4 linked regions of the Rhinolophus ferrumequinum genome follow. The protein of the gene in region 3 purifies or fractionates together with the protein of the main gene of each other region. This does not show direct contact. Links are inferred from orthologs where the notes say so. Each region holds a gene or a part of one and is shown on either strand. Other genes may lie near its edges.

Evidence for each region.
Region 1: the proteins of CCT2 (region 3) and TLE2 purify together in Homo sapiens (affinity purification with mass spectrometry; 3 studies listed by BioGRID and IntAct, with this or other methods). This does not show direct contact. The link is inferred for Rhinolophus ferrumequinum from reciprocal best matches to the Homo sapiens genes CCT2 and TLE2.
Region 2: the proteins of CCT2 (region 3) and RPTOR purify together in Homo sapiens (affinity purification with mass spectrometry; 3 studies listed by BioGRID and IntAct, with this or other methods). This does not show direct contact. The link is inferred for Rhinolophus ferrumequinum from reciprocal best matches to the Homo sapiens genes CCT2 and RPTOR.
Region 4: the proteins of CCT2 (region 3) and ACTR1B purify together in Homo sapiens (affinity purification with mass spectrometry; 3 studies listed by BioGRID and IntAct, counting the BioPlex papers as one, with this or other methods). This does not show direct contact. The link is inferred for Rhinolophus ferrumequinum from reciprocal best matches to the Homo sapiens genes CCT2 and ACTR1B.

Annotation. Positions count from the first base shown.
Region 1 is NC_046301.1:60,196,553-60,204,181, reverse strand, and holds the start of TLE2 (transducin-like enhancer protein 2), read right to left. Parts: upstream 3,012-7,629; 5' UTR 2,708-3,011; coding exon 2,684-2,707; intron 2,611-2,683; coding exon 2,513-2,610; intron 2,119-2,512; coding exon 2,055-2,118; intron 1,606-2,054; coding exon 1,561-1,605; intron 1-1,560.
Region 2 is NC_046304.1:53,774,305-53,781,195, reverse strand, and holds the start of RPTOR (regulatory-associated protein of mTOR), read right to left. Parts: upstream 3,003-6,891; 5' UTR 2,225-3,002; coding exon 2,063-2,224; intron 1-2,062. UniProt on the Homo sapiens protein: Component of the mechanistic target of rapamycin complex 1 (mTORC1), an evolutionarily conserved central nutrient sensor that stimulates anabolic reactions and macromolecule biosynthesis to promote cellular biomass generation and growth.
Region 3 is NC_046293.1:65,558,393-65,565,736, forward strand, and holds the start of CCT2 (T-complex protein 1 subunit beta), read left to right. Parts: upstream 1-4,325; 5' UTR 4,326-4,471; coding exon 4,472-4,474; intron 4,475-5,196; coding exon 5,197-5,271; intron 5,272-5,370; coding exon 5,371-5,436; intron 5,437-6,165; coding exon 6,166-6,277; intron 6,278-6,598; coding exon 6,599-6,675; intron 6,676-6,811; coding exon 6,812-6,924; intron 6,925-7,344. UniProt on the Homo sapiens protein: Component of the chaperonin-containing T-complex (TRiC), a molecular chaperone complex that assists the folding of actin, tubulin and other proteins upon ATP hydrolysis.
Region 4 is NW_022680356.1:2,451,877-2,459,346, forward strand, and holds the start of ACTR1B (beta-centractin), read right to left. Parts: upstream 3,018-7,470; 5' UTR 2,873-3,017; coding exon 2,825-2,872; intron 1,025-2,824; coding exon 960-1,024; intron 1-959. Other genes in the region: C13H2orf92 (uncharacterized protein C2orf92 homolog), read left to right, coding at 5,815-5,911, 6,957-7,019. UniProt on the Homo sapiens protein: Component of a multi-subunit complex involved in microtubule based vesicle motility. It is associated with the centrosome.

The sequences.
Region 1 (7,629 bases), on a different chromosome or scaffold from region 3:
GGGAGGGGGATCTCTGGAACACGTGCGGATTAAATAACTGTGACGTTTAAAAAACATTCTCTGAAATACAGGGTCTGGAGACCCTCTGGGTAGGTGAACACACAAAGGTGCTGGGAGAGCGGCGCTTGGAGAGGGCATGGAAGCTCTGCACCCCTTCCCCATACCTTGCCCTCTGTTCCATCTAGCTGTTTCTGAGTTATAACTTTTATAATGAACAGATAATAATAAGTAAGAGCTTTCCTGAGTTCTGTGAGCCATTCTAGCAAATTATTGAGCCCAAGAAGGGGTGATGAGAACCCCTGATTTTATAGCCAGTTGCTCAGAACTGTAGGAAGCACAGACTTGCAAAGTCCCTATCTGAAGTGGGGACAGTCCTGTGGGGCTGAGCCCTGAACCTGTGGGGTCTGGACTAACTTGGAGCAGAAAGTGTCAGAATGGAGCTGATCTGCAGGACATCTGGCGGGTGTTAAGAGTTGGAGAATTGGTTGGTGTGGGGAAAACCCACACTTAGTGTTGGAAGTATATAGCAATGGAAACAGAGTGGCTTACTTGTAGGTTTCATCCCGGATAGGGTCTGGACCAGGGGTACCCCATGGAGGCGGAACATAGGAGAAGCCTTGTGGGTGGGAAAAGGGTGTGTGTGCAGTGAAGCCTATGCTTTTGTGTCTGCCTGGGTTACAGGCATGCTGTGTGCAGTGTGTCGGGGGGCAGTTCCCACCAGGAGGGCAGAACCAGGCTCCCAAAGACCAGGCTGTACCCTATGCCTGCCACCCCATGAGGGGTTCTATTTCATATATCCATGAGTCCATGTCATGCTCCAGAAAGGCACAGCCCTCCCAGCACCCCCAGAGCCAGCAGAGCCCACACATACATGGAAAAGCACGCCAGGGAGCCCCGTGCACACTACATTCCAGCCCACCCACCGGAAGACCCAACACTAGGCTCCATGCATTGACTAATATTCGGATGGACAGAACCTAAGATTCTCTTAACCTCAGAATCTCCATCCTATTACAAGCCATCAGAGAACCTGGAAGTCAGTCTCAGGATCTCAGGATCAATCTTGGACAATTGGAGTCAATTTCAGAACCTTCCAATCTAACTCAGTACCTCGAGATCACACTCAGAAGCATAGGAGAGTCTCAGAACCGCAAAGCACTAGAGTCAATCTCAGACCTTTCAAAACAGTTGACAGAAGCTTGGGGCCATCTCAGAGCCTCAGGCTCAAAGGGACCTCCAAGACTGTTCATCTGGCCCCTTTCCAGGACAGAAGTCACCTCCACAGCCTCCCTGACTTGGCTGCCAGCCTCTGCTATGAGCGCCCTTGACAGGGATGCTTGGCCCTGCCCACCACTCCCCTCTGCTGGATAAAGGCTCTAGAAATTCAGAATCATTTTCCTATCCAGAGGCTGAAATCTGCCCCCGCTGGTCCCAAAGATTTCAGGTTTAGACCCCTGTTGCCTGGATCTGCCTTGCCCCAGACTGCCCTAGTGTTGAGTCCCTCTGACAGCTTCCAGACCCCCACCCTACCTACTGAACACCTTCACCCCCAACAGTTACCTGCTTATGCATTTCAACGTTGAGCCCATAGGACATCTCATAGTACTGCAAAGGAAAAGCCAGTTGGCAATGTCCACGGTGCCGACGGATGTCCAGCCCTGTGCTGGGTGACTCTGGGTCTTCAGGAGCCCTCAGGCTGGGGTGGTCACCTCAGGGCACAGATCATCCCAACCCCATGGGGACCCCCTAGGGAGAAGCAGGTCACCCTTCCACTCTCTCCAGGAGGTGGGGCAGGTGGTGGTGCTGAGACCCTGGCCCAGAGATGAGGAGAAGAGACATTCTTGTCTCATTGTTCTTAAGAGCTGGGAGGGTCCTGGGAGAAACAGCCTGGAATCCCAACCAGCCAACTTTACAGATACGGAAAATGAAGCCCCAAGAGGGGCAGGGACTTACCCAGAGTGGCCCAGTGAGTTGGGATTCACAACCCAAGTGTTTTCACTCCTGGCCAAGCCCTGTGCCCCACTCCCCCCACCCTGACATGCTACCCTCCTCACCATGACATAATGTCGCTGCATTTCGGTCTTCTCACTGGCCAACTTCTCACATTCCAGCTTGAGGCTGGGAAGGAGAAAGGGCATGGGTACCCCACTCTCCATGACCCCCAGAGGGAGACTCAGGGAAACCGGGACACCCCACGGATACCCGCTTTGGGCCAGTTTCCAAAATGATGGGTTTGACACTCCTCCTCCCCACTTCTTTACACCCCCACCCTCCACCCCCGCCTTCCCAGACTCAAAATGTCCAAGCACCCACTGTCCCCATTTCCCTCACCCTGCGCTTCCACCTGGAAGCTCTCCCCTCACCTCTGGGGGCCAGCCCTACTCCCAGCACCCTGGAGGCCCCGCCCCCGCCTGGCCCGGTCCCACGCGCCCCGCCCCTCTCCCTGAGCTCCCAGGTGAGCTCGCAGGTGAGCTTCCCGGTGCCCCAGGAGGGGCGCCCCGCCCCCCCTCACCTATGATACTGAGCCTGAAGGAACTGGAATTCCTCTTTGATGCGGTCGCAGATCTCCAAGATCGAGAACTTGAAGGGCTGACCGGACTGAAGCGGGGTCTGGGGGGGACGTCTGAGGTCTGAGTTCCCGGGCGCTGGGTCCCCCACCCCCGCAGCCCAGGCCCCCACTCACCGGGTGCCTTCCCTGAGGGTACATCCTGTCGATCTGGGAAGCCCCCCTCGCGCCGGAGTGTGACAATGTGGGGGGGTCGAGGCGAGGGGGTGGGAGAGAGAAAGAGGCTGGGGGCGGGGGTCTGCCCGGAGAAAGAAGACGGGGGGCGGGCGGCGTGGGGCAGAAGACCCTGGAGTCCCCGCGTCCCCCAATCGTGCGCGCAGGGTCACGAGGACGGAGAGGGACAACGAGGACCCCTCCCCTGGGCAGGGGCGCTGGGCGGTGGGCGCAGAAGGTCGGCGAGCCGCGGCCGGGTGTCGGAGGCGCGGGCGGCGGGCCCCGCGCGGAGCCGCCTCCCTCCGGCGGGGCTCGGCCGGGAGCCGCGGGCTGAGCTGCCTTAAGGTGGCGCCGCCGCCCCCCAGGCCCGCCCACCCGGCCCGCCCGCCACCCACCCTGCTCCCCCCCCAACCTGGAGCCGTAGCTCCGGAAGCCCACCCGTCCCTTCGACCAGTGCCCAGTGGAGAAACTGAGGCTCGAGTCCAGCCCCACAAACATCGTCCCCGCTCACTCCCTCCCTCCCCAGGGGGCCCCAGAGAAAAAAAAAGCAAGGAAACAAATACCTGGCGGCCCACGGTGGGGAGAGCAGTTTGTGGTCAGAAATGGCCTTTCTGAGGATGTGGGCTAAGACTTAAGGATAAGGAGGAAGCAGCCTTATCAAGTGCTGGCAGGGAAGCCTTCCCCCAGGAGAAATGAAATAGCAAGGGGCAGAGGCCCAGAGGAGGGCAAGAGGTGGGGGGCCCAGGCAGGCTCTCCCCCACACTGGGCCTCAGGATTCTCTGAAAAGGGCAGAGGCAGGGGCTGTTTTTTACGAGATGGTACATGCACAGCCCTCAGCCGGGCTTGGCTCACAGTATGGGAGTTGGTGTTCCAACTGCCACAACCAGCAGACTGTAGGCTCTGTGTTTCTCCGAAAATAAGACCTACCTGGACAATCAGCTCTAATGTGTCTTTCGGAGCAAAAATTAATATAAGACCCGGTCTCATGGCTAGGTCTTATTTTCGGGGAAACGCGGTAGAAGGCAGAAGTCCCAGTGAGAATGGGAACGGAATCTCTGCCTTCAGACTGAAGTCTCTCTGAGGGCAGGGGCTCCAACCCCCACCATGGACCTCAGACATCCAGCTACTGTCCCTCACATTCACCTGGGAGATGGGATGTTCTTATTCCCATCCTGCGTGTGAGAAACCTCAGAGTCATTCATTAAGGCAATCAACAAACACGTACTGGGTGCCTACTCTGGACCAGACCCTGCTCTCGGCACTGGGGCTCTCAACAGGGAACAAAACAGAGAAAACCTCTTGCCAGGTGTTAATGTCCACACCCATGTCAGTAATTGTGTGAGTGACAATGTACAAAAGTCCTTAAACTTAAAAGCATCACTTTCCAGTCAACAAATTTATTGAGCATCTACTATATGCCACACATCCTCCCAGGCATACAAGAGTGGATGAAGGAGAATGGATTCCTGCCTTCTCTCAGTTTGCGAGACAAGATCACAGCTTGGTAATGATGGAATTATTTGTGTGCACAAGAGAAGAGTTTAGGGAGCAGTGGAAAAGGTTGACAAGAGGGAACCTACTTATCTGGGGTGTCTGGGAAAGGCCTCTTTGAGGAGGTTAATGTTGGACATGAGACTTGAAAGATAAAGAGAGGAAACCATGGGAGGGGAGGTAAAGAGAGATCCAGGGAGTGTTATCTGTGTGTGTGATGAAGGGAGAATTCAATGATTTCCTATTGCCTTCAAAATAAAATCCAGACTCTTCCCTCTTCCCACAAAGCCCTGCACAAACCCCCTCCCCACGGTCCCCATCTTGATCCTAACTCCCTTCACTTTCACCCTCATTCATTCTGCTCCAGCCATTCTCTGTTTCTCCAACTCTCCAGGCACAGTCCTGCCTCAAAGCCTTTGCACTGACTGTTCCCTCTACCTGGAACACTGGTCCCCTTGCTTCTCATCATTCAGGTCTCAGCTCAAATGTCACCTCCTCATAAAGTCCCCTCCTGGCCACCCATTGAAGCAGCATTCACCCACTCTACCTTGTTGTTTTTAAACACCGCATCCTATTCTCTCTTTCTAGGTCCTAACAGAGTTTTTATTTTTGACATGATTATGTTTCTTCGTGGGTTGTTCTAGTCATTATTTGTTTTCCCCTAGTACTAGGCTGTGTAGGGACAGAGCCTGTCTTGGTCCCTGCAGAGCTGGCCCACAGTAAGTGCTCAATAAAAAAACGGGCCTTGGGATGAGAAGAAAGAGCTGATGCAGCTAAAGGTGGTAATCACTGGCCCCACTCCTGCTGGGAAATTTTCAGAAGCAGGGAGTTCCAGGATTCCACAATGCTAGGAGATTGTGATTCTGGTTCTGGGGGGAGAGGGTCTGTGAAGTCCTCAAAAACTTTTTCCAGGCAGCCTTTCTTCCCCCTGTCCCCATGCCCTCCTGAACACTCATGAGAATGGCTGCACGCTCTGGGTCCACCCCTGGCCCCTACCCTGAGACCCAGCCCTGTGGGTGCAGCCACCAAATGGATGTCCCCCCTGGACACCCCCAGGTCATTAGACAAAGCATCTTCCCCAAACCTGTTACACCCCACAGCCCACCCTGACCCCCCCAAGATAGAGCATCAGCCTAGCCTCTTCTTTCCCCCTCACCTGCCATGCAACTCTGCTCCCCTTCCCAACAACCCCTGCCTGTACCAACCCTTCATCCTCCGCCATCTGGATCTCAAGCCAACTCACTGCTCTGAACAGCCTTCACTCTCATCACCTTCCTTTGAGTCTGGCCCTCCCTCACTCAAAGCCCTCCCATGGCTCCCTATTGCCCTTGGGACAAATTCCCAGATCTTCAGGTTAGCATGGATACCCTTCACCTCCTGGCCTGACCCAGCTTCACCTCCCTCTACCAGTTCAAACACTCCCTCTGCTCCAGCCACGCCAGCTGGATTACTTAATCTGTGTTCTTTCTCACCTCTGGGCCTTTGCTTATCTCTTCCTGGAATTCCCTCAGCTCTTTTTCTGCCTGCTCGAAATCCCTTCCTTCAGGGCCCAGCCCAAATGGCACCTCCTCCAGGCATCTTCCCCTCCGCACACACATTGAATACAGACTGTCTAAAGTTGATATTTATTCAATAACCACCTTCTCATGCTGGAAGATGCTGGGGCCTTAGGAAGGACCCGGCCTCAGGCTTTGCTGGGAGGGTTCCCAGGGTAGCTGGATGGGGAGAGACAGAACTGAGGACACACTCCAGGGCACACGTAGTCAATGCCAGAACAGGGGGACAGATCCAGGGCGGAAGCACCCCGAGGGAGATGGAACAGGGTCTCTGCCTATGGAGTCAACAGGAGGCTTCCTGGAGGAGGGAACCTTTACCTACCAGTCTTTAGATTTCTCAGCCAGGCACACTCCACTGAGGAGAGTAAATACAGATTTGTGGATTGCCTGAGAAGCCACAAGACCACACACACACATACACACACACACCATCTCTTGTGTGTGAGATCTGCCAAAAAGGAAGAGATGGTTTGCTCTAAGCAGTAGCAACCTCAGCTTGGGAGCAGCTCTGAGAATTTGGGAAGGCTCAGCTAAGAGTAGTCTGTGAGTTAGGAGGACCCTTAGGAAGCCTGTTACTCCATAACTCGCTGAAGTCCCACATTCACCCAGAGCAGGAGGCAGGGAAAGGCCTGGCAAGGCCTGAGTTACAGCCTGGGCAGTCTAGCACAACCTTCTCAATTCCCCAGCTAACTCGTTTGCCATGGTGCTGGTGGTGGGAGGCTCGCTTCAAGCTCCATCTCTCTGGGCCTCAGTTTCCCCATCTGCAAAATCCAGGAAACTGCAAAATGGAGGAAGGGGCTTAGTTTCCGATTTCTCCCCTCCCACTATACAGAAAGGCTCAGCCCCGGTTCTTGGCTGGGTTTTTATGCTGTGGATGTGGTTTATTTATTTATTTATTTATTTTAAAGGAAAAAGCTGAGAAGCAGCGCTGGGACCCGGGATTGCTCAGACCACCTTAAATCAGCCCCGCAGTCCCAGCTACTGTGGAAATTCCTTTCTCTGTGGTGGTTGGCTGAACGCGCCAGCCAATCCGCCCACGGTGCTCCCACATGGGTCCGTGACGTCACAATGGGCGCTGGCCAATGGGAATCATGGAACTGGCAACCAATAACGGGCGGCACTAAGATCGTCTAGGCCAATCGGAAGGCGGCGAGGCGCTCCCAGCGGGATATGCAGAGTGTAGCTTCTTCCTCCCTAAGAGAGGCTGAGACCCTCGTGTACGCCCCAGCCTGGCTAGGTTAGAGTGAGGGATCCAGTTCGATTACTATCCAAAAACATAGCAGCGAGCCACCCCGGGAGCCTGGTAGGTCTCCCCTTAAAATCAAGAGCCCCTCGCCCAACAAATTACCTTGCAAAACCCCTCTCAGGGAGCGGGGTCGACTGGGCGCCTTTCGCCCTATTTCACCGGTAGCTAAACTGAGGTAAAGAGATGTGAAGTCACGCTAGACCCCCTCTGGGAAAAGCTGAGACTCTCACCGGAGCCTGAAGGCTCCTAACACAGATGTTTTTGTCCCCAAGTCAGGTGAGGAAAGAATAGGCCAATGTGTGGGCGGGAAGCGGGGGGGTTGTGCTGGGCCCGTGCCTCAGTTTCCTCGAGCGCGAACGGAAGAGGAGATGAGAGCAGGGCTTCTCGGAAAGACTACGATCCCCAGAAGCTCCTGCGCGGCGCCCGCCCAAACTGTCAATCAAAGTAACGTGGGTTCCTCTCCGACCCGCGCTCCCCCGCCCTCCGCCTAGCTTCTGCCAGCTCCCGCTCCCTCCCCGCCGGCTTCGGGCCCGGTGCGGTATAATTACAGCCCATTGATCCGACCCGGGCCGGGAAAGCGGCTCCCTCGGGGAGGCCAAGCCTTTGGCTTCCGACAT
Region 2 (6,891 bases), on a different chromosome or scaffold from region 3:
CTTGCTGGCGGCTGGGTTGGAGACACAGGAAGTAGGAGCCACGCAATCCGCCATCCACGCTTCTCTGCCAACCAACCAACCCCACTGTGCTGGCTGCAATCCGCGCTTGCTAGCTCAGCCGCGGCAGTTATATCAGTGGCCAATGGCTCACTAGTTACAGCTGACGGCCAACTAGTCACAGCTGACGGCCACCTACTACCTGAGCCAGCACCTTTCCACGTGAGGCTGAGAGCCTGGAAACTGCTCTCTGGGGCTCTGTCCCCACAGAAAGAAAGAAAGGGAGGGATGTGGCGTACTCTTCTAAGCCCCACTCTTCCACCCTCCAGAAAAATCAGACACAAGTCCAATGTCAGCTGCCATTTCTCTTTGAACCTGTGCCATTATTCTTCTTAGAGCTGGCCTGTTTCACTCACTTATGCTGCCTTCCAAATCTTACCGTCTTTGAATTCGCAGCCTTTGTCCTACTATGGTGTACTGAAAGGTCCCGTCAGGGTCCAACCAGTGGAAAGAGACGACAGGACTGTTAAGATGCCAAGCTCTCACAAACTTACTAAAACTGTCAGCTGCTGATTTTCTTCTTCACTGAACAATTTGCAAACGTCAGATACGGCAAACTTTCTCACCTGGCTCTTTTCTAAGTAGTAATCTCAGTAATTACTCAGATTCACAGAACTTGTCTTTCTCCTAATAACCTATGAAGAGCTTATCACGGGATGTTGATCACTCATAAACTTAATGTTTTAATTAAAAGGTCAAAAATATATCCACTTATCAGTTTTGAACTGTTTGAGCACAGGTTTAGGATAGCAGAGGAAACTACATTTCAAAAGGAAAAAAAAAATGCCCTCCAAATAGAATGAAAAAAAAAAATGATTAGACAGTAACTTTAAAATAAACTTTTTATACATGCAGAGACCACAAAAGCTTTGAACTATATAATTAGTACTAAAGAGGTCGTAAGACAGGCTTTATACAATCTCTTCTGATGACTGTCTCTTGCACTCCTTACACTGCTTTTGGCTGAAACAAATTTTCCTAACCTTTTAAAGAGAAGCTCAATCAGTAGCTGGTCACCAGTGATTGACTAGGACTGCCATAAGGCTGAGCTCACATGTTCAGCATCATATACTAAAAACAATAAATCATCTTATAGAAACACGTTCATGAGCTCAAAGCAATCCCATGGTAACACCAACTACCCCTCTTATACCACCAAAATGTTTAAATAAATACAGTCTTGAAGGAGAAAATAAACCACAGAAAGACAAATGATAAGTGTGCATAGCTGAGCCAGTCCCACACACTTGCTTTGGAGACCAGGAAAACAGACGGTCGTTGATTAAGGACAGAGTCAACAAAATGGGCTGTTTTCTTTCCTACCAGTTGCTTCTGAATCACTGTGCGCACTCCCAACACCATGGGGAGCCGCCGAAATCCTGGCCCCAAGTTCCATTCCATCTACTCTAACTCCTCCCCTGGAGAAATTCTGTCTCCAAGTCACAGCAACATGATAGCACGTAAAAGGAGGCAAGTCTGTATTCAAGACAAATGGTTTAGAAGGCTATGAAGTCCATTGTAACTTTAAAACAACTCTGCATTAATTTGTTACTAGATGAACGTTTGCCAGTAATCATGTTTCCTAGTAGCTATGTTAGACTTCTGGATTTCACCTGCTTGGACAAAAAGCGTCAACTCACCACAACAGACTCTCCACGTGGGGACAAGCAGTATATCTGACGATGTTTTTCCTCTAAGAACAGCACTGAGTATATCAAACAGCGCCTAAATATTTGCAGTGCTCTATTTGCAAACTTGCTTAACTTTTCTTGTTTGATGCAGAACTTGGTTTGACTTCACACTATCCTGTGAATTACTAAGCAAAACAGCCTTTGCATTTTCAGCCAAACACTGGCGTCTGACATGGTGTGTGGTTTTTAGTTGCCTTGCGACATGTGGCTAGGAAAATACGTCTCCCGCTTTCCCAAGGACGTGCTTTTGGCTCTGAACTTTCCTTTGTTGAAAAAACTCCCAAGGCCTCGGGGCGCAGCCGGAATCCACTTACCCGATCCTTCATCCTCCAGCTCTGCGCTAAGGACTTGGAGCCTTCGATTTTCTCGCAGTGCCTCTTTTTCATAAAAGCCAAAGGCAGGTTCCAGTCTGTCAGGTCGGCCTCATCTTCCTCCCCAAGCCCCAGAAGGGGCGACTGCAGCATTTCGGACTCCATCAGGGGGGGTGGGGGTGGGGGGGTCCTTGGCAGCAAGCGCTCGAGAACCTCCAGCCTTAAAAGCTAGTGGGCACCAGAACTGGTCAACTACAAAACAGATACGGGGGGAGTCAGAAACGAAACAAATGGAGAGCGTGCGGAGACCCTCGCTCTGGCAAAAAGTCTGCTGAAATCCTTTCTCTCCGAGGGAAGCCGGAGGGGGAGGAAGGGCCGGGGAGATGGGGCAGCGCAGGGGGCTCTGCACAGACGCACACGGCTGCTTCTGAGGCTGTCTGCTCCCGGGGGGCTGCGAGCGGAGCTGTCAGAGGCGTGCGGGGCTTCAGGCCGCACGATGACCCTGCGCTCGGCCTCCAACGCCTCGGCCGACCCGAGGACAGGCAGGCCGCCCGCTCCTGACGCCGGTTCGCCGACTGGGCTGACGTCTCCGGCCGAAGGGAAGGGGTTCGGAGCGCCCCGGGTCTCCTCCTGCCACTTTCAGCCCTGCGGGTCCCGCACTCGCCGCAGCTGCTGCAACCAGAGCCGGGACCGGCCCATCGTGCTCGTCCGCAGCCGGTTCCTCAGCCCCGGGTCCGCGCGGCCTGGCCGGTCCTGACCTTCGGCCCCGTGGCTCTCTCCTGCCTGAGAACGAGTCCTGAGAAACGGGCGACACGGCGCCGCGGAGAAAACAGGTAATGTGGGATTATTGGGTTTGGGGAGTTTTGCCCTCTGGTTTGAAGCTACAGTGAAACTCCTCTCATCAGCACATCAAGGAGGACGCCATATTGCTAAGACCCAGCATGCATCGCGATCTACGGCGTGGCTAACAGACCAAACTACCTCAGAGCGTTCCGGCCGCGCTTCCCAAGATGCGATGGGAGCAGTTTTTGCTCCAACTTCGTTACCGTGGTCACCACGGTGCAGCTTTCCAGAGTTTATTGCGATTCTTTCGCTGCGTGGTGGCAAAGTCAATCCTACAAATAAAACTATGTTAAATTAATTAACTTTGAAAAAAATCTTTTTATAATTACAAATGGACCCACGTGCTTCTGAAATTAAAGGAATCTCGACCCCTTTGTTGTTTTCTTTCAGATTTTGAAAAGGCAGGAAAAGCTTCAGAAAGAACCATTGATAATATTACAAAAGAAGATGGGATTTGGGGTGGGGGGAGGGTTTGTGTGCGTGTAGTATCCTTCACAGTACCAATCAGATTTTCAGGGAACACCAAGAGAAAAGAATAATTTCAATGATTGCAATTTTTTGTTTAATCCATCTTACTTTCTGAGCAGTTTATTCCTGTTTTGAGATAGCTTCATGTGCAAACAACTAAAACCTACAGATTTCTAGGCGTGGATGTACGCCTCCTGCGTAACTTTCTTTCTCTGCTTCAGTTCAGCAGACTTTGCTTATTTATAATGTGTGCAGACCTTGTCCGGTGCAGGAGGGAACACAAAACCCAACCAGCGTGCAGAGCCTGCCTTCAATCAATGTCCTGTCTAGTGAGACACACAGTAACCTTTAGGCAAAGCCCAGCAGGGGGCCAGGGGTTGGTCTTCCTCCCTTCCACTGGGCTTTGGTGTCAGGCGCACCTGTATCACTTTCCATCTCTGTGGCCTTAGTCAATCCCTTAAAGAGCTCAATCTTAGTTTCCCAGCTATAACACGGGGATAATAACACCCACCTGGAAGGATAAAATTAACCTGTGAAGGTGACTAGTATATCGTGAGTGCCCAGTACACTAGCAACGACCACTGTATAGCCAAAATGAAATGTAGGCGCCCTGGGTACCTTATTCATCCAAAAACCTCAGGCTGGGCTCTAGAAGATACCTTTTCTCAGTGTGGCTTCTCAGGGCTGTGACACCACGTGGTGGTCCACGTCGAAATCCTGAGGACGCTTGTGTTCCTTTCCACATCCGAGTGAACAGTGCAATCCCAGATCTTTCTCATTTGGCACATAGCAAGCGTTTACTAAAAGTTCTTGGATTAAATCAGTCCAAACATGAAGTCATTCCACACATTCATTCAGTTCTTACATCTCTATGAGCCCAATCCTTCCATTACAACTCAGGGCAAAATCACCAAAACACAGATGGAGGCTAAAATCTTCCTTTTCCCTGTGCTCTGTGTTGGCAAAACATGCCACCGTCACCAGCAGAGGCTTCAGGACTGCGAGGTCCTGAGAAGGCCCTGTTCTTGAAACTGGAGGGCAACCGAGTCCGGGGCTCATGCCGCCTGTGCCGGCCAGCCGATACACAGACACAGGGGCTGTGTCTGGGCTGTAGAACAAGCATTTATTATCGGAACACACACGTGATCTGATAAGGCAGCAGGTCAAGACCTCCAAAAACTGCCTTCATTCTCTCAGACCGGCTTAGGATATTTAAGGGAAAACATGGGAGTTCCTCCAGAGGCTACATGATGGTTCCAGGGGTCTGCACGGAGCCTTCCCTGTGGCCACGTGGTTCTCCCCGTGGTGTCAGCAGCCCAGGAACAGTGATGGGAGTATCCTGGAAAGAATGCTAGACCACAGAGATTGTGATCAGTAAGCCTAAGGGTATTAACCATAAGTTTCAGGGTGACTTTCTAAAGCTGGGAACCGGGACAGGGGACATTCCGAGCTCAAGCCACAGGGGGACAATCTATTACTAAGCTATATGAAGGAAAGGCGAGGCCGGGACGCGCAAGGCCTCCACTGCGGGGGAGGGGGGTCCCAGCCGGGCCCTGTTTCATTCTCACCTGAACGCAACACCACGACTCCAGCTGCTGCCTTGCCACCCTGCAGCACACGACAGTGAGGGGCCACAGATAACCACTCCAGGCACTAGTGCTGGGAGGAAGCCACGGCAGCAGAAAAGCAGCTGCATAGTTAGTTCTGTGACCTGGGGAAACCCACTTAATCTGTGTGAGACCCAGTTTCCTCATCTGTTCAGTATGTGTCACCTTGGGAAAGCCACTCGCCTTGTCTGAGTGTCCACAAAGTCAGTAAAGGAGGCCACGGCACGCACACCTGGCAGCTTGTCAGAATCGCCGGGGAAACTGTTTTAAAATGAAGATGCCAGGGTCCCATCCTAGATGTACTGAGCCACAAGGAGAGGGAAGAAAGGATTCAGCCTCTGGGTTTTTTAATCAGGTAACCCTGGTGATAGCTTCACATGAGCCAGATGTGGGGGATCGGACAATATTCTAAGGACATTAGGCAGCATTCTCCTCTAATGAGTCCGTTCCAGCCACGTGACGGGCCCTCAGTAAATACTGCGGGCGCCAAAAAATATATACACATGACTTGTATTTATCTGTTGTTATTGTGTATATGGAGCATTACAATTTTAATACAGTTTTTTCCTTTCTTAAAATGTGTATACATTTTTTTGGCACCCTCTGTATGTGTACCGAGTAAGTGAATGCTCCGAAGCACTTATCCAATCTTCCATCCAACAAGTCACAGCAGGAGTCACCCCCTACTGGACGACAAGTGTGACCCCAGAACCAAGAGGCCATCTGGGGTCCACGTCCCGAACTGAAGGTCAGGATACACACTCCGGTCCCTGGTTCACCACCCATTCCTGTAGCCATGGCCAAGATGCTGCCATTCCCATCCTCAGGCTCCACATCGGGGTGACATGGGTGACGTGAAGAAGGTAAATCTCTAAGGGCACTTCGGGGTCAAAATTCTGTGACCATGTGTAAATCAGGAAGGGGCTGGTGACAGCCCAGCTCCCAGTCTGAAGGTTTAAGAATGGGCTTGAGTCATTTCAAAGCATCATGACATTTAAAAGCAAACTCGTTCTGATGTGTCATGGGTGACTGTTCAAGTCCCAGATAAGCATTTGGAAGGGTGGCTCCAGGTTTCCGGATGGCAGTGAGAGGCTCTGAGTAATGGCAGGCTGGAAATTCACAGGCTAATCTTTCTCACCTCGGTGATCTTATTACCCGGCGTGCGATGGGCTGGCGACTTGGGCCTGCAGTTCCAATTTCCGGTGTCTCCAATTCTTCACAGGCAAGGACATTGCCTGCTTTCCACAAAGCCTCTAAACAAGACAGTTTAATCTTGAAAACAAGTGAATCTCAAAAAATGCACGGAACCTGGTCTAACACAAGCTATGAAAGCAGGGGAGGGTGTTGATGACCTCCTGCTGATGGCTGCCATCAGGCTGCAGGTGTGGAAGCGGGGGAGGCTCTGATCTGAAACAGCAGAATAACCCTAAACCTGCCTGTATAGAGAGGGGGACCTCGCCCTAGAACGTGAAGGTGATCAGATGACCCCTTCCAGCCTCACTCGGGCTACTTGGCAACCAGAAGCCAAAGATACAGCAAAGTGAGCAGAGAACACATTTACAAACCTGAGTGTGTCGGTCAAATACAACAGAAGTCACGGGAAATATGGGTGGGGGGAGGGAAGATGGGCAGGGCGGGGGCCTGAATAAACGCCTCAGGCACTGTACACAGCACAGGAAGAACGAAAGCGCCTGGAGTTTCAGAGCTTCCAACCTCAGCTGCTGGCCCATGCAAGGGACCTAATCTTTCCTCCAGGCACAAGACCATGGCAGCCCAGGCGAGGCAGAACCAGCTGCGCTCTGCCCTCCAACGCTGCAGCTTCTCCACTAAATCAATCAAGGGCATTGAATGTCCTGTCATCAAGAATCAGTAGCGAGACGGGAGGTCAAGCAGCTCGAGAAAACCAGGAACTTC
Region 3 (7,344 bases):
CCCCATTCCTCCTTCCTCATTTTTGGGGGGTATAACACAATTCTTTGTAGCATCATTACAATTGCAATTCTATGACAATTAGATAATGATAGCATGGAAATGGACTGGTATTAATAGTACAGTAGTCACCGGTGTGCCACATTTGCATTAGTAAATGCAAAGTATACATTTTATAAAGGACAAATTTTATGTTATGTTTTTATTTTCATTACGTTGTATGATATGTAACATTGTATGTCCTAATTTGCATTATAAATGTTTTTTCCTACATAAAGGCATAAATATAGCAACTTTGTATAAAGGTAGCTTATTAGATTTTTAATTTTTTTCTTTTATAGAAAATTGTCTAACAGTGGGACTACCATTGCCAAATTGTATATGAAAATATGAATTTTACCCCCTATGGTTAATTTCTTTTATAAACATTCCATATTTCTCTAATAAAAGACATAAGTGATACTGTACTATGCATAAATTGTATTTTAATGCTGTTTCATATCAGCATTTTAAATTTGGTTTGCATTTTTAATATTGGCAAAATTTACCACTGTTGATTAAAACCTTGATGTATATGTAACAACATCTTTTGCCCTCTGTCCCTCCTCACCGTTTGTTCTCTATTTCTCCCTATCAGTGCCAACTTCATACATTTTGTAGCATGGCAATAAAATATAACTTTTACACTGAGGCCGAGTGTGGCTTTTTGGAGGATGTGGAAATGGGAGGATTGCCCTCTAGTTGTTCTTTCCAGATGATTTTTTGCCATATGAACCATGTCTCCAGGCATGAGAAGTTATCTCATATATGATGTAAACATGCTTTTAAGGACAAGTGTGAATGTGCGTTTAAGCTTAATTTTTGTCATAACAAATAAGAACTAATTTTTTATCTTTGGAAACGTCAGAATTCTTGAAGTACAATCAAACCTTTATTAACTGGAGTACTTAAAGAATAAGCTAATAATTGAATTCAGTTCAACAAGGGCTAAGCAACACATTTTTAAAATCTTTATTTATTATAGAGTATTAGTATATTGTCCTAAAAGTTATATGTAAAATATGGTTTAATCTTAGATGATATAGGATCTTGCGATGCCTTACTGTTGTCATTCTGGCATAAATTTCCGTGATGAGGTACTCAAGCTGATAATGGAAGTTGAGCTGACTATACACTGACCTTAAGCATTCATGAAAAACTGCTTTGTTGAATAAAATCTGATCGGAGTTCTTCTGGTTACTTTCCCCTTATCGCCTAAAGTAGATTGCAATAAAATCCCAATAAAAGTTTGGTTGGATACCTATGTAAAGTTTTACTGTATTTATATTTCACACATTTCTTGAAACTATGATAAAAGGTTTTCTTAGTCTCATATCACTGCCTCCATTTCAAAGTGAACATATAATGGGTTAAAGATTATGTTTCATCAAAGTGAAATGAAATTTGAAGTATTTGACATACTTTCTCAGTTTTATCTGTGTTGTCATTCAAACTGGTAGTTCTCAGCTCTGAGTCCTCAAACCTGTTTTGGGGTCACTGAGTGATACTGTAAAGCCTACTTGGATAAGGTTCAAGATGGAGATCATTTAAACAATGAAGGGGAAAGAGAAGTCCACAAATGATTGGGTGGCAGACCCATGGAACACGTAATTAGTTAAGGTGTGGCAGAGACCAAATCTTGGAAAAACTTATTTGGATTATTTCTATATTTTTCTTTTGAGTCCCTTTGAAGACAGTAGCTATTCACATGTTCTTATTTAATGAATGAGCATGAACTAGGCCCTATGCTAGTAATAACGATAGCAATCCTTGTCCTCAAAAACATTGGTAGTTTAGAAATCCTTTTTTTAATGGGAGCAATCAATGCCCTTTCCCCCCAAGACATAAATTGTATATGATGAATTAACTTCTCTGCTATCGCGAGAATGGTAATAGCTATATGCCTTAGGAGAACTGACAAAATTGTAACTCCAGCTCTTAGTATGAATGGTGTTAAGGTGCACACGAGGGAAAGGCATCTAACAACCTGACAATGGAGGTTTTCAAGAAAAGCTTGGAGGAGGTAATCCCTGAGGTGTTTGACGAGAGCCTTCATAGGTTAGAGAAGGAGGGGACAGGACGTCTTAGGGAGAAGGAATAACATGCAAAGGCACAGAGGTATAGAAAGATGATGTTCATTAGTGGCAAGTGGTTCTGTATGACGAGTGGGGTGCAAAGGCAGGGTGGGAGACAGAGAAGAAAGGAGAAATGAGAGCCATAAGGAGCTGTAGGATGCTAAGGACTGTTTAAATGAGGTGAGTGTCTGAAGGATTTTAAACACTGGACAAATAATTTAGATTGCTCTGAGATGAACATGGAGGGTACCTTAGAGGACATTTTAATAAAGCAGGTAGACTGAAGAGGAGGCTCTCAGAGAAATGGAAGCAAAACTGGATAGATACCTATTCAAAGGCACTATTAAAGGAGTGTTTAGGTTATTTATTGCTGTGCAACAAACCACCCTAAAACTGGCTTCAAGCAACAAATCACTTTGTCACATTGCTACAGATCAGGGTGAGCAGGCCTATGGAACCCACCCCAAATTACAAAACTAGTAAATGGAAAAGTTGAAATTCAAACCTACACAGCCTGGTTCCAGAAGCTGAGTGTTTAAAACCTGTGGTACAAGGGTGACACTAAAGGAGGAAGAGAAAAACATGCAATGAAGAAAGAAATTGCTGAGAGTCCCCTCATAGGGGTCTCCTGGCAGTCTCGAGCCTCAGCTCCACAGGTGGCAGGGCCTGCCTTCCCAGTCTCCATCCAAAGCCTCTGGCTATGTTTCCTCCACGCCAAAGCCCAGTAGGGAGGGGATGTTGGTTTCTCCATCACCCATAGTTTCAGGCTTGCCTGCCAGAGGACATATTTCCAGATATATGATTTTGCCCACAATAAATACAGCAGTTTTCAGTGTCATGCAGTTATCTTAGCTTCTCATTATTGTAACATTCTAGTGTGCGATTTGGGATATGAGTGTTAAAGGGCATTTCCTGAAAGCAAGTTTCCTTACAAAGATTGCAAAAGTCTTGATAGATTTAGAATAGCAATTTGTCCAGTCTGAACAGCCCTTTTCGTGATGGCCCTGGAAATAGTGTGTAAAAGGGTCAGCAAACTTGCCATAAAGGATCAGGCTTTAAATATGTTGGGCTTTATGTGCCATACAGTCTGTCATAAATAACTTCCATTGTTTATTGCACAGTATATAAAAAGTGATGGGTGTGCTTGTATTCCAACCAAGTGTTATGGACACCAAAATATGTTTCACATAATTTTAATGTATTATGAAATAGTCTTAACTTCTTTTAACCATTTAAAAAGGTAAAAACCATTCTTTACTCTCCAGCCATACAGTTTGTCAACTCCTGGTATAAACCAACCTTCTTAGAGAATATTTGAAAGGTAGAAACATTTTAAAAATTGAAAACGTCTACCAGTGTTAACAATTGCCCAAAATCCAAGAACTTGCTAACTGACTCATGAGTCAAACGGAGAAAAGGGTATCAGCAGGTAGAAAACTAACATTTTTTTTGCACAAAACTTTGCTTTAACGGTCCTAAGGGGTCAATTCAGAGAAAGTAGAAAACTGTTTTTGATAAACTGAAATTTTGGGATTGATCTTGATCTCTACCAAAGCATTATGTAAGAGTATATTAGTTATCTCTACTAGTGGGGGAGGGGAGGAACGAGTGAAACGCAAAAACCTCCTGAAAATGAGCAAGCAAAGAGAAAGGAAACGTCTCCATCAGTTCACAACATCTTGTCCTGGACAGTCAACATCCAATTAAAAACAGCGTTTTAAAATTCAATAAAATAAAATGTGTCTTCCTCGTAATACTCAATAAATAGTTAAAATCAAAATAGCGATGAAAATATTATTTAGGAATATGTTGGTAAATAACCACTACAGAACAAAGCTGAAAAGTTGAGAGTGGTTGCCTCTGGGAGAGGACGGGATGAGGTTGGTGAGTTATGTTGTTCATTACTAGTACATAACACTTTAACCTATGTATATGTGGTACTTCAAGGCAAACCTTTAAAGATTAAGAAAAAACGTGCAAGCACAAACTCCGCTACTATGGCAACCCCCGCGGCGCAGCGTCTCTAGTTCTTCCGGGGTTCTGCTCCCAATACTGCCGGCCTCAAGCAAGATGTCAGACCCCCGCTTCCTTGCCCCAAGCAGGTGGCGCCGCAGGGAGAGGAGGAGCACAAGCCTAGGCCGCGCCCCTCCCATGTGACGGGCTGCGTTTAAGACCCGCAGGGCTCCACTCAAAATGGCACTTCCTCCCTCCCTCCGCGAGCCGCGCTAGGCCGGAGCGGCACACCGGCCGAGGCTCCGCCCCTTACGGTAGAGCGTGAGGCGTCACTTCCGGCTTCTTTTCCTTCTGGTCCCGGGCGCGAGCTGTGAAGGAGTAGCGTGTGTGCCGAACTGCTTGGAACCATGGTGAGCTTGGCCCCGCTGGCCCTGCCCATGCCCCGCCATACTCCGCCGTGCCCTGCCGCCCCCTCTTGTCCTCCCAGTGCCTCGGGCTCCCTGTTTCTGTGCTCCGGGACTGCCGCACACGGTGAGGGCCGCGGCGTGTGGCCTGCGCACAGGCCGCTGGCGAAGCTCCCGGTGCAGGCCAGGGGGAGGGTGGGCCTCCAAGCCAGCGTCCTCTGACACCGCTTCTCCAAAGCCCCAGAACCGGGAGACCCGGGGCTCACCCTTAGCGAAGAAATTTCCAGGGCTCCGGGCGGGTCGGCGAGACAGGCCCCGCCCTCCCTCTCGGGGCGGAGCCTGGAGCGGCCTGTTGGAAGCTAGGCCTCTTCCATTCCCTCACCCGCTTGGCGGTTGTCCTGCGAGTGGCCTACAAGCCCTGCCTGCCTATCCTTAGATTAAAAGTCATCTTGAGTCTTGCCATACTTAAGAGTTAGTACATAATTTTTATTCTTGGAGCACTTGTAGATACAGAAAGCAAGGTTGCTTTCCTACACAGCTTTTAGAAGTGTCTCCTCCCCCTTAAATGACTGCCCTGATGATGGAGAGCTTCATTTTTTGGAAAAAGTACACTATTCTGTACATCAATTTCCTCTTAGATATCTTCTTGTAAGTCTACTGGAGGGCATCTAAGTATATGTGTTAAAAGAATATTGGCATTCACACCGGTTTTTGTTTTTCCTTTTTAGGCGTCCCTTTCCCTTGCACCCGTTAACATCTTCAAGGCTGGAGCTGACGAAGAGAGAGCAGAGACAGCTCGTCTGGTGAGCCTTCTTCTCATTCTTTGAAAGATAAAATCGTACTTTTACCATTTTAAGACTCAAGGTGATTTTGACAATCTCTTTCTTTGATTTTCACTCCAGTCTTCTTTTATTGGTGCCATCGCTATTGGAGACTTGGTAAAGAGCACCTTGGGACCCAAGGGCATGGTAAGAAAAAGAGGGAATTTTTGTTTTGATATTGTTTTAGAGCCCTTAGTGAAAATGTACATAGTAAATAATACTTTTCTTGATGCATTTTAATCGTTGAAACTTAACTCTAATTATATAGGTAAGACGTGGATATATTCTCTTTCCTGAAAATCAAAACAGTACCTATATGGCTGAAGTCCCATTCAGTGCCCATCCCCAGTCCCACTCTCCTCCCCACTGACAACCACTGTTATCATTTGGATGTAGATCTTCCCAATATTTTTGTTCATTAATGTAAATATATGTGTATCTTATGTGTTATGTATTTTCTTATATACTGGTAACATTTTGTTTTATCATAGGTATTTATGTGTAGTTTTTCTGTAGCTTGCTTTGTTAAAATTCTTTTCAGTGTAAATGATTAACTGCCTCTTAAGTGTCAAATGGTATTCAGCATCCTGATTATTTTATAGTTTATATTTATGACTGTATTGAGGGACACTTTGTTCCATTGTTTTGGCTATTATAGTGCTGAGACAAACTGTTCATGTCGCCCAGTTCTAGTGTTTTTAGGGTTAGATACCAGGGTTTGCTTGTGGGGTGTATGTATTGCAAAAATTTGAATGGATACTGTCAAATAGCCATCCAGGGTATTGACACATTAACAATATACGAGAGTAGTGATTGACCCATGCGTTCTTCAAGCTGTATCTATATCTTAACTTGAACCAAATATGTTCCTTTTAGGACAAAATTCTATTAAGCAGTGGACGAGATGCCTCTCTTATGGTAACCAATGATGGTGCAACTATTCTGAAGAACATTGGTGTTGACAATCCAGCGGCTAAAGTTTTAGTTGGTGAGTCTGGAGATACTCTTTTGTTAACATTTTGAAACATATTTTAAATAGGCTGTGTTGGCTGTACTTCCTTTAACTATTGTCCATTTTTTAATTGATTATTGTCATTAAAATACAAGCTTCTGGAGTGCCATGTAATTATTAATAGTAAAATTGTTGCATTTCAGACTGAAAAGTTCCAAAGAATTTGTCAGGTGAGAAAACCTAGATAAGTGAGATTTACATTGGTAGTGGGTATGTTTGGAGAATTAGTTTAGCTACAGAGAAGTAATTTAAAAGGCAGAATCAGATATAAATGAGTTAACTAACTTTTTTTTCTAGATATGTCAAGGGTTCAGGATGATGAAGTTGGTGATGGCACTACCTCTGTTACTGTTTTAGCAGCAGAATTGCTAAGGGTAAGACTATCTGAGCAATTCTAACCTCATTTTATGAATTAGTTTTTGCTACTGTAGTTTTGAATGTCAGAAGTAATGAAGTCCTTACTTCCTACATCTTCACTATTGACAAGTGTTTTCCACTGTTTATTAATAGGAAGCAGAATCTTTAATTGCCAGAAAGATTCATCCACAGACCATCATAGCTGGTTGGAGAGAAGCCACAAAGGCAGCAAGAGAGGCTCTCTTGAATTCTGCAGTCGATCATGGGTCGGTATACCAAAATACTACTGTTTTAAACATTTAACATTCTTTCCAAAATGTACTCAATGCACGAAATCTAGAAAACAAGAAAAACATACACAAACACGACCCTGCTATCTCATCCTGCCCCAACAGAGAAAACCCGCATTACCCTCCAGAGATAGCCACTAAAGTTCAAGTTTGGGTTTCCAGTTTTTGCTTATATAATCACAGTAAACAGAACGAATAGTATCATTGTGTAGAGGGTTTTTAGTCTCTTGAATGTAGTTGAATGACAAGCACATTTCTGGGTGTCAGTATTCTAATTGAGGTATTCATTTGATTATATTACTGCAGTACAATTTGCCTATCTATAGTTGGAGATTAGTGTTTTGACAGTTTTTAGCTTTATAAGGTACAAACTTGTTACCCAAAAAAATGTTTCAA
Region 4 (7,470 bases), on a different chromosome or scaffold from region 3:
TTCCACCCTCCCTCCCAGAGAGGGCTGAGAGCTCTGGCAGAGGGTCAGCTGCAGCCACAGTTGACTCAGCCCATGCTCTTGACTTCAGGAGGGCCAGGCTGCCACCACTATCTGCAGACTGAGGGAGGATGGCCCCAGGAAGCTGGTGGCAGCCCCTGTTTGCACCCCTCTCTCACTCAGTAGATCTGGTCCCTTCCCACTGCCAGGGCTTCCAGAATAAGAGATTCCACAATTTGACCCAAGTTCCCTGCACATCAACTGGAACCTTAATTACACCCAGTGGGGTTCAGAAAAGGAAAGCTGGAGCCTGACTGCGTGCTTCATGTTGGCTTGTCCCCAGACCATAGCCAGCCACTTTGGGGGCCTCAGGACCCCCGCCCGGATTAGGCCAATCACTCTAAAGCCTCTCGGATTTGCGAGGTGACGCTGCCGTGGGGGAATTTTCTGATGGGCTGGAGTAGCCAAAGGCGCACCTAGGCTTTCTCGGGGTTTTTCCTCCTCTGACCCCAGCCACCACCAGCGTCAGGCAGGGAAAGACCCGCGTGACTGAAACAAAATCTTTTCTAGAGTCTGAAAATAAGTAAGTTCCAAAGAAAACTCTCCTAGGAGGAAGGGGTGGCTGTGCACTAACTCCCCACTCTTCCTCCTGAGATCAGGTCTTTCTCATGGAAATTGCCTTTTATTCTTACTGCTGCTACCACACCCTGTCCCCAGGCTGAAGCTGGAGGCTTCTCCTCCGCTGCTCAGGGAGAGACCAAAGTCAGACGCCAAAGAGGGGGAAGCCCAGAGCACCTGTCTGCTCCTTCCAGAGCCCTCAGCAGCATGAGCTTCATACATCTGGTGCCTTCCTTCCCTACAGGTGGGGGCAAGGCTGGCCTCAAAGAGAGCTGTGACCCTGAACCACTGCTCTCCCGGGAAGCAAACAAAAGGGTGAGGGCTGCTACCTGGGTGACACTTACTAGTTTGGGAAACAGTATTTGGGAATCTGGTCTCCTGCAAAGCCAGCTTTGATCACCCCCGAACCCTGCAAGAAAAAACAATGTTTAGCTGCGGGCATGGAGGTTGTGGGCTGCCAGACCAAGGCGGCTGGGGAGGAAGCTGAGATCCTGCCAAGAGGGCATGTTCATTCACTAGTACACCAGTGGTTCAAAACTGTGTGTGGGGGGGCGATTTTGCATCCCTTCCCCCAAATTCAACAGTGTCTTGTTGCTACTGGCATCCAGTGGTAGAGGCCAGGGACACTGGACACTAAGCACCCTACAATGTACAAGCCAGCCCCTCACAAGCGAGAATGATCGAGCCCAGAATGCCAGCAGCAAGGACCACGGAGCACCCCCTGCACACTCCAGGGCACTTCCAGGCAGGAGAGATCCATGGGAAAGCTACTCCCAAAAGCCAGCCAGAAGCAGTCCCTAAGCGTAGTTTCTTTCAGCAGCTCCTGTCCCCTGGTCCCCAGCCGACGGGACCACATACAGGGCCCACGGGAAGACCACTGGGTGCCTGGGGACACTGGCACTTCTTCCATGGCTTTCCCAAAAACTGCAAGCCAAGGACAACTTGTCCTGCCACTGCCCTAGCCTGGAAGCTGGACTTTGGGTCTCAGAGACCTTGCACCCTTCCATCCAATGAAGGAATCAGCATCTCACCCCCCTTCCCAGATTTACATCATAACACTTCCTTTCTGCAGTGCACGAACAAACATCCCCAAATTACAGAGCGGCTGCAGGCCAGGGAGACAAGCAGGTAGCTCTCTGAACGCATAAGCTTGTTGATTAGCCTACGTAATGATTTGCCCAACAAGAAGGGAGGGGCCTGGTCTCTCCTGTCGCCTGCTGGAGAGCACCCCCTAAGCTCGGTTTTAGCATTCTTAGTAAACATCGCCTGATGTGACTCAAGGAGCCCACAGGGGTACTTCAAAAAAGACAGCTGTTCAGGGATGACAGGGGGATCATGTGGGAGGGAGACAGCTCCCCAAAAGAGCAGGGAGTCGTTATCAAAAACTGCAAGGCTGGCACACCAGAGGCAGACAGCCAGCTAGGGGCAATGCCATAGACGCCTGCCCTTCATTTACTTCCCAAGGACCAGAAATTTCTGAGGCCAGAAATCCTCTGAGGGCAGCTGACAGCATGCTGAGTCCCAGGGCTGAAGGACATAGACACCGGAAGCCAGGCATCTTTCTCTGCGGCTTCCAAACAATTATCCCCAACTGCTCATGGGCCCTGCCGGCTGTGGCGTTCCTGCTCCACACAGGGAGCACTTCGGCAGAGGATCAAAGTAGGCACTGGCCATCCTGGTGGTGGTGGTGGATTTGTGGCTGGGAGAGCTGAACTTGCATTTTTCCCCAAGTCGTAGGAAAAGAGCCCAGGTAGGGCTGTCCTCTCCGGAGGTCCTGCCTGGGGGGTGCAGCCCCTTGGGAAGTGCTGTTAGAGGTCACCAGGCCAACCATCTCCAAAAGGCGGGCCAGCAGTGTGCAAAAGGGCAAATGCCAACCCTCCTCTACCAAGAGAGGCAGCCAGAGGCACAGCCCGAAAAAGGGAGAAAAGGGCTATACTCGGCACCAGCCCAGCGACCCCATTCTGAACCGAGCGGGTCCCGGGTGCGTGCCGGGGCCGGGCCGCCCGCGGTCGAGACGATCACCATGGGGCCGGCTGGGGCAGGGCTCGGGCAGGGGCCCCACGGCCCGGGCTACAGGGCCAGGCGGGCGCGCGGGCCTCGGGCGGGGGCAGCGTGCGGAGGACCAGCTCAGGCAGGCGGGTTCCTCCCGGTGCCGCCGCATGCGACCCGCGGGCGGGGCGCCCGCCCTCCCCCAGCTGCCGGGCCTCACGTTGTCGATGACCACGGGCTGGTTGGCGATGATGTCGTAGGACTCCATGGCCGGGCCGGGCCGGGCCGGCCCTGCCCAGCAGGCGGGCGGCAGGAGAAACTGGCGGACGCGCAGGCGGGTGGACCGGACCGCAGCGGCTCCAGACGCGGGGCCGCGCCCCTCCCGTGCGGAGCGCACAGCCTACGCGAGCCCGGGGCTCCCTCGAGGGCGCGCCCCGCGGCCAATCACCGTTCCCATCCGGGCGGATGACGGCGCGCGCCCCGGGCCCGCTGCCGGCAAAGGGGCGGGGCAGAGGGAGCCCGCCAGCCAATTGCGGCCGCGGGGAAGAACCGCCCAGGCGCTTCCAAGGTAGGCTGCACCGTGTGGGGATGACGTCATGGCCCCGCTCTTAAAGGGGACGCGGGAGACGGCAGGCTCGCGGGCGGGAGGTCCCCTGTCCAGGAAGACGTCTTCCGGATTCCCAGCGCCTCCGACTACACCTTCATGGGCACGCAGTCCCCAAGGAGGCCGGCGCTGGATATTATCACTCAAACCATTTCTTTACTGAGCACCGACGAGGACCCTCTCCCTTGTAACAATTACAATTTCGTGGTAACTTGGTATCTGGCGTTTAGCCAGCGCCTGCTATGGTGCTTGCGGAGCATTTCGACACACTTTACGTGGATTGCATTATTCAATCCAGGCAATAAGTCTACCAGGTAGTTGTATTATTATTCCCATTTTACAGATGTGGGCACTGAGGAGCCTCACATTTATGTAACTTGCCCTAGGTTATGTAACTAGCAACAGCTGGGGCCTAACCTGCAGGCAGCCTCCATCCGCGCAGGAGTCAACGTGCAACAATCCTGAATTCACTTATTAAACTGAGCCGTAGTGATGGCCTCTATATATGCCTTTCCCATTGGATTGTGAGATTAAATTTGGTAAAATTGAAAAACATCATAAAGTGCAGATATCATTAAGTATACATTCAATGGTTTATTATAATTCGTACATGTTGTTGAAAACTATAGAGAAAACTCAGCTACGGAGGCAGGAGGGCAGGCTCCTCAATTATCAACTGAGATAACTAGGAAGAGGAAGAGCTCAGAAACCTTACTTTCGAGGGAGAAACAGAGAAAGAGAGAGGAAAAGAGAGAGAGGTGGGTAAGAGAATGACAGTGCAGGAGAGAATCCTCCAAACCCTGTAGGGCCAGCCACTCCCTCCTGCTCTTTGGAGCCATCCTCTCAGCACCTCCCAGACAGCACCTCCTTTTCTCTCTGGAATGTCACCCTAGCACTTAGATTTCTTCTCAATCTGTTACTTACACCCACTTTACAAAATAAGGACTGTTGGTCGGGAGAAGGGTTATACTTGTCAAAAGGACTCCTCATGGTTAACTGGGCCCAAATTCATATTCCCAGTCTAGTAGCCATTGTTTACAGAGCCCCCACCCCCACCCCCACACAGAGCTGCATTGCTGCATTGCTGCACTGCTACATTGCTGTATTGCTGCAGTTCAGGGAAAAGCCACAGACTGGGATGCCAAGACTTCTACACAGTGTTCCTGCCTACTAAAGCTCGCCTGTATAAAGGACTTCTTGGAATGTATTTTGACCAATGGGCTGAGACCAGCCCCATCCAATCAGAGCTGCACAGTTTTATACTCATTTGCATCTTTACTGACCAATCAGAGTGGCTCCATAACGACCAATCAGGACATGTGATTCCAACCAATCAGGACATTGCCGTTTGGACCAATCAAACTTAAAATTTGGATCTTTCTTTGCATAAAAATAGACAGATGGGGACCAGGGCAGGCACTTTCTCTATGTAAGTGGGCCTCCGCTTTGTCTTGGAGAAGCACACTTTCGGTTTCCTCTGAGTTTCCTCAGTTTCCCTGAATAAAATCTTGACTTTTACTGCACCCTGGATTGAGGATTCCTGTTGTCCTTGGATTAGTGGCAGTAACATTTTGTTGACAAGACAAAATGCACCAATGCAGGTAAGTTCTTAGCACATATGGAGGAACCCATAGGGTGGGGTCCTTGAAGAATTTCCCTAGAATCAGACCCCAAAAGAAAGATGATGGAATCCTAGGCTTGATGCCACCTCCTCCTGGTTATGCTGAGAGTGTGAGTTTTGTGTTGTTTTATGTTCTTTTTTTGTTGTTGTTCTGTTTTTGTTTTTTTGAAGATATTTTAGAGAAATAATATTTATGCTGCTGCTATTACCTAATGTTATGGGTTGAATTTTGTCCCCCACCTCCCACCCCTAAATTTATATGTTGAAGTCCTAACACCCAGTACCTCAGAATGTGGCTTTATTTGGTGTGTCTACAGAGGTTACTGAGGTTAAATGAGGTCACTAGAGTGGGTCCTAATCCAATATGACTGGTGTCCTTATAAGAAGAGGAACTTTGGACACAAATATATATGGAGGGAAGAAGATGTGAAGACATAGGGAGGAGATGGCCACACACAAGCCAATGCAAAATGAAAATGCAGGGAAAAAAGTGCAGTTAAAGGTGCTAAAATATAAAGATTTTTCCTTTGAAAGTAGTGTGATACTTATAAAACATAACAAGGGAAATAGTGATACGTGAATGATAACATCAACTTATACTTTTGTTTATAATATTTTTGGTGTTATAATTTTATGTAACACAATAAATAATAATTTGATATCCTGATTTATCCTAAGATTTTTCTGGCTACTCTAGCCGCTTCCAATTAACTTAAGCTGATTTAATAGAGTTTTTGTTACTCGCGACTTAAGAGTTCTGGTTAATGTCCTACCGCCTTCAGGTCACAGCACTCGCAGGATGGAGGAAGGCCCTGCGGGGCACCAGAGTCCCCTCTGGTCCCTGTGCACAGAGCCTGGGCCCTCCCTCTACCAGCTGTAGAACTACCTCCACCCATTCCGGTTGTGACTTCACAGATCGGCGAGTTCCACAGTATCCTGGCTGAGGATTTCAGGAGGTTTCCTTCTCTCTAGTGGTGTCCAGACCATGGTAAAGCTGAGAGGAGCAGGGGCCCTCTTATTTGTCCTCTTCCTGGACTGTTGGCAGTGTGCAGACATGCATCAGCCTTTCCCACCGGTCGAAGGTACGGTCACAGGTAGATTGCAGGGGCATATGGAGAAGTGGGAGACTCACTGTGAGTCTCCTTCTGTGAGCCCTGGTGTGGTGAACCTGGAGCCTCTCATCACCCCAAATCTGCCATAGGAATTTCTGCTCAGGAGAAGGGAGTAGCTTTAACATTTTTCCTAATTTTGCAGCTTTCTCAGAATCCAGAGCCCCACAGGAGGGTAGCATATATAAACATACATTTTAACTTTTCATTATAAACGTTTTCAAACACACACAAAAGTAGAATGATTAGTAGAATGCACCTCCACGTGCTAATCAGGCTGAGCTGGTGTCACCTGCTCCCTCACACACATTGTTTTCAATAACAGCTTGAGACATTTTTACGTAGCATAAAATTCACTCTCTTAAAGTGTGTAATTCAGTGTGCTTAGTATATTCAAAGGGTTGTGAACTACCGGTATCTAATTTTAGAGCATTTTCATCACCTCAAAAAGTCAGTCACACTCACTGCCTTCCACTCGCCATTTACCATTTCCCACAGCCCTTGACAACCACTAATCTGTCTGCTCTATGGATTCGTCTGTTCTGAATAGTTCATACATGGAGTCATGTGGTCTTTTGTGACTGGTTTCTTTTATTTAACATACTTTCAAGGGAAGTTTCTCTTCAAAACCTGCGATGTGTGTCTGTCTCCCTCTGTTGTCCCCACACTGAGCACTGAGCACAGCGGTCAGGTCACAACAGATGATGACCTGAGATGGGAGACGCGAGGGCATTTCTCCTTCCACAGTCACATCAGCACCTTTTATCTCCTCTCCTCGCAGGCCTCCTGAGGTTGGCGCGTTGCCCACCAGTCGCAGAGGAGAAAACCAAACCCACAGCACTTTACTGCCCAAGCCCACAGGCACTCAGAGGGGGCCTAGAACCCGTGTGTCCCCTAGAGCAGGCCCCTTGCACGGTGCTGTTCTCGGAACAGCACCGGGAGACGATCGACTTGCGATTACACGCGGAGCCAGTGAAAGAAAGATTTACTCACAGCTACGGTTTACTTTCCCCCACAGGGTCAAATGCTGACCGTTCACCAAGTTCAAAAAATCTGGAGGAAGGTATGGCTAAAATATTTGGTAAGTACCTTCCCCCGTGAACCAGTCGGGCTGTGTTTGAGCGTCTCCTGCGCATCCCTGGCCGGCCCCCAGATGACCTATCGGCTGCCCTGATGGGAAGGGAGGTGCTTTGCACGGAGGCTGGAACCAGTTCTCTAAGTGGCAGGCAGGCAGGCAGATTCCCTAGAAATCATCAAAAGCATAGAAGAGCAACATGCAGAAAGGATTCTGCTCCTCACAGAGCGGGGGGTCCACCCTCTGGCAGGTGTTGGAAGTGCAGCCTCAGTGCCAGCGGGGACCAGGTGCATCACAGCTGCCTGGAAGGTGCCCAGGAGATGCTGCACGTAGTGGAGGCGGTGAGGCCCTGAGGCTGATTTCGGCCTTCTGCCCAGGTCCTCAGCCTAACTGAGCACGACAGTCCCCTGGGAGATTGTCACATAGAGACTTCCAGACCCACCCCAGCCACGAGGTT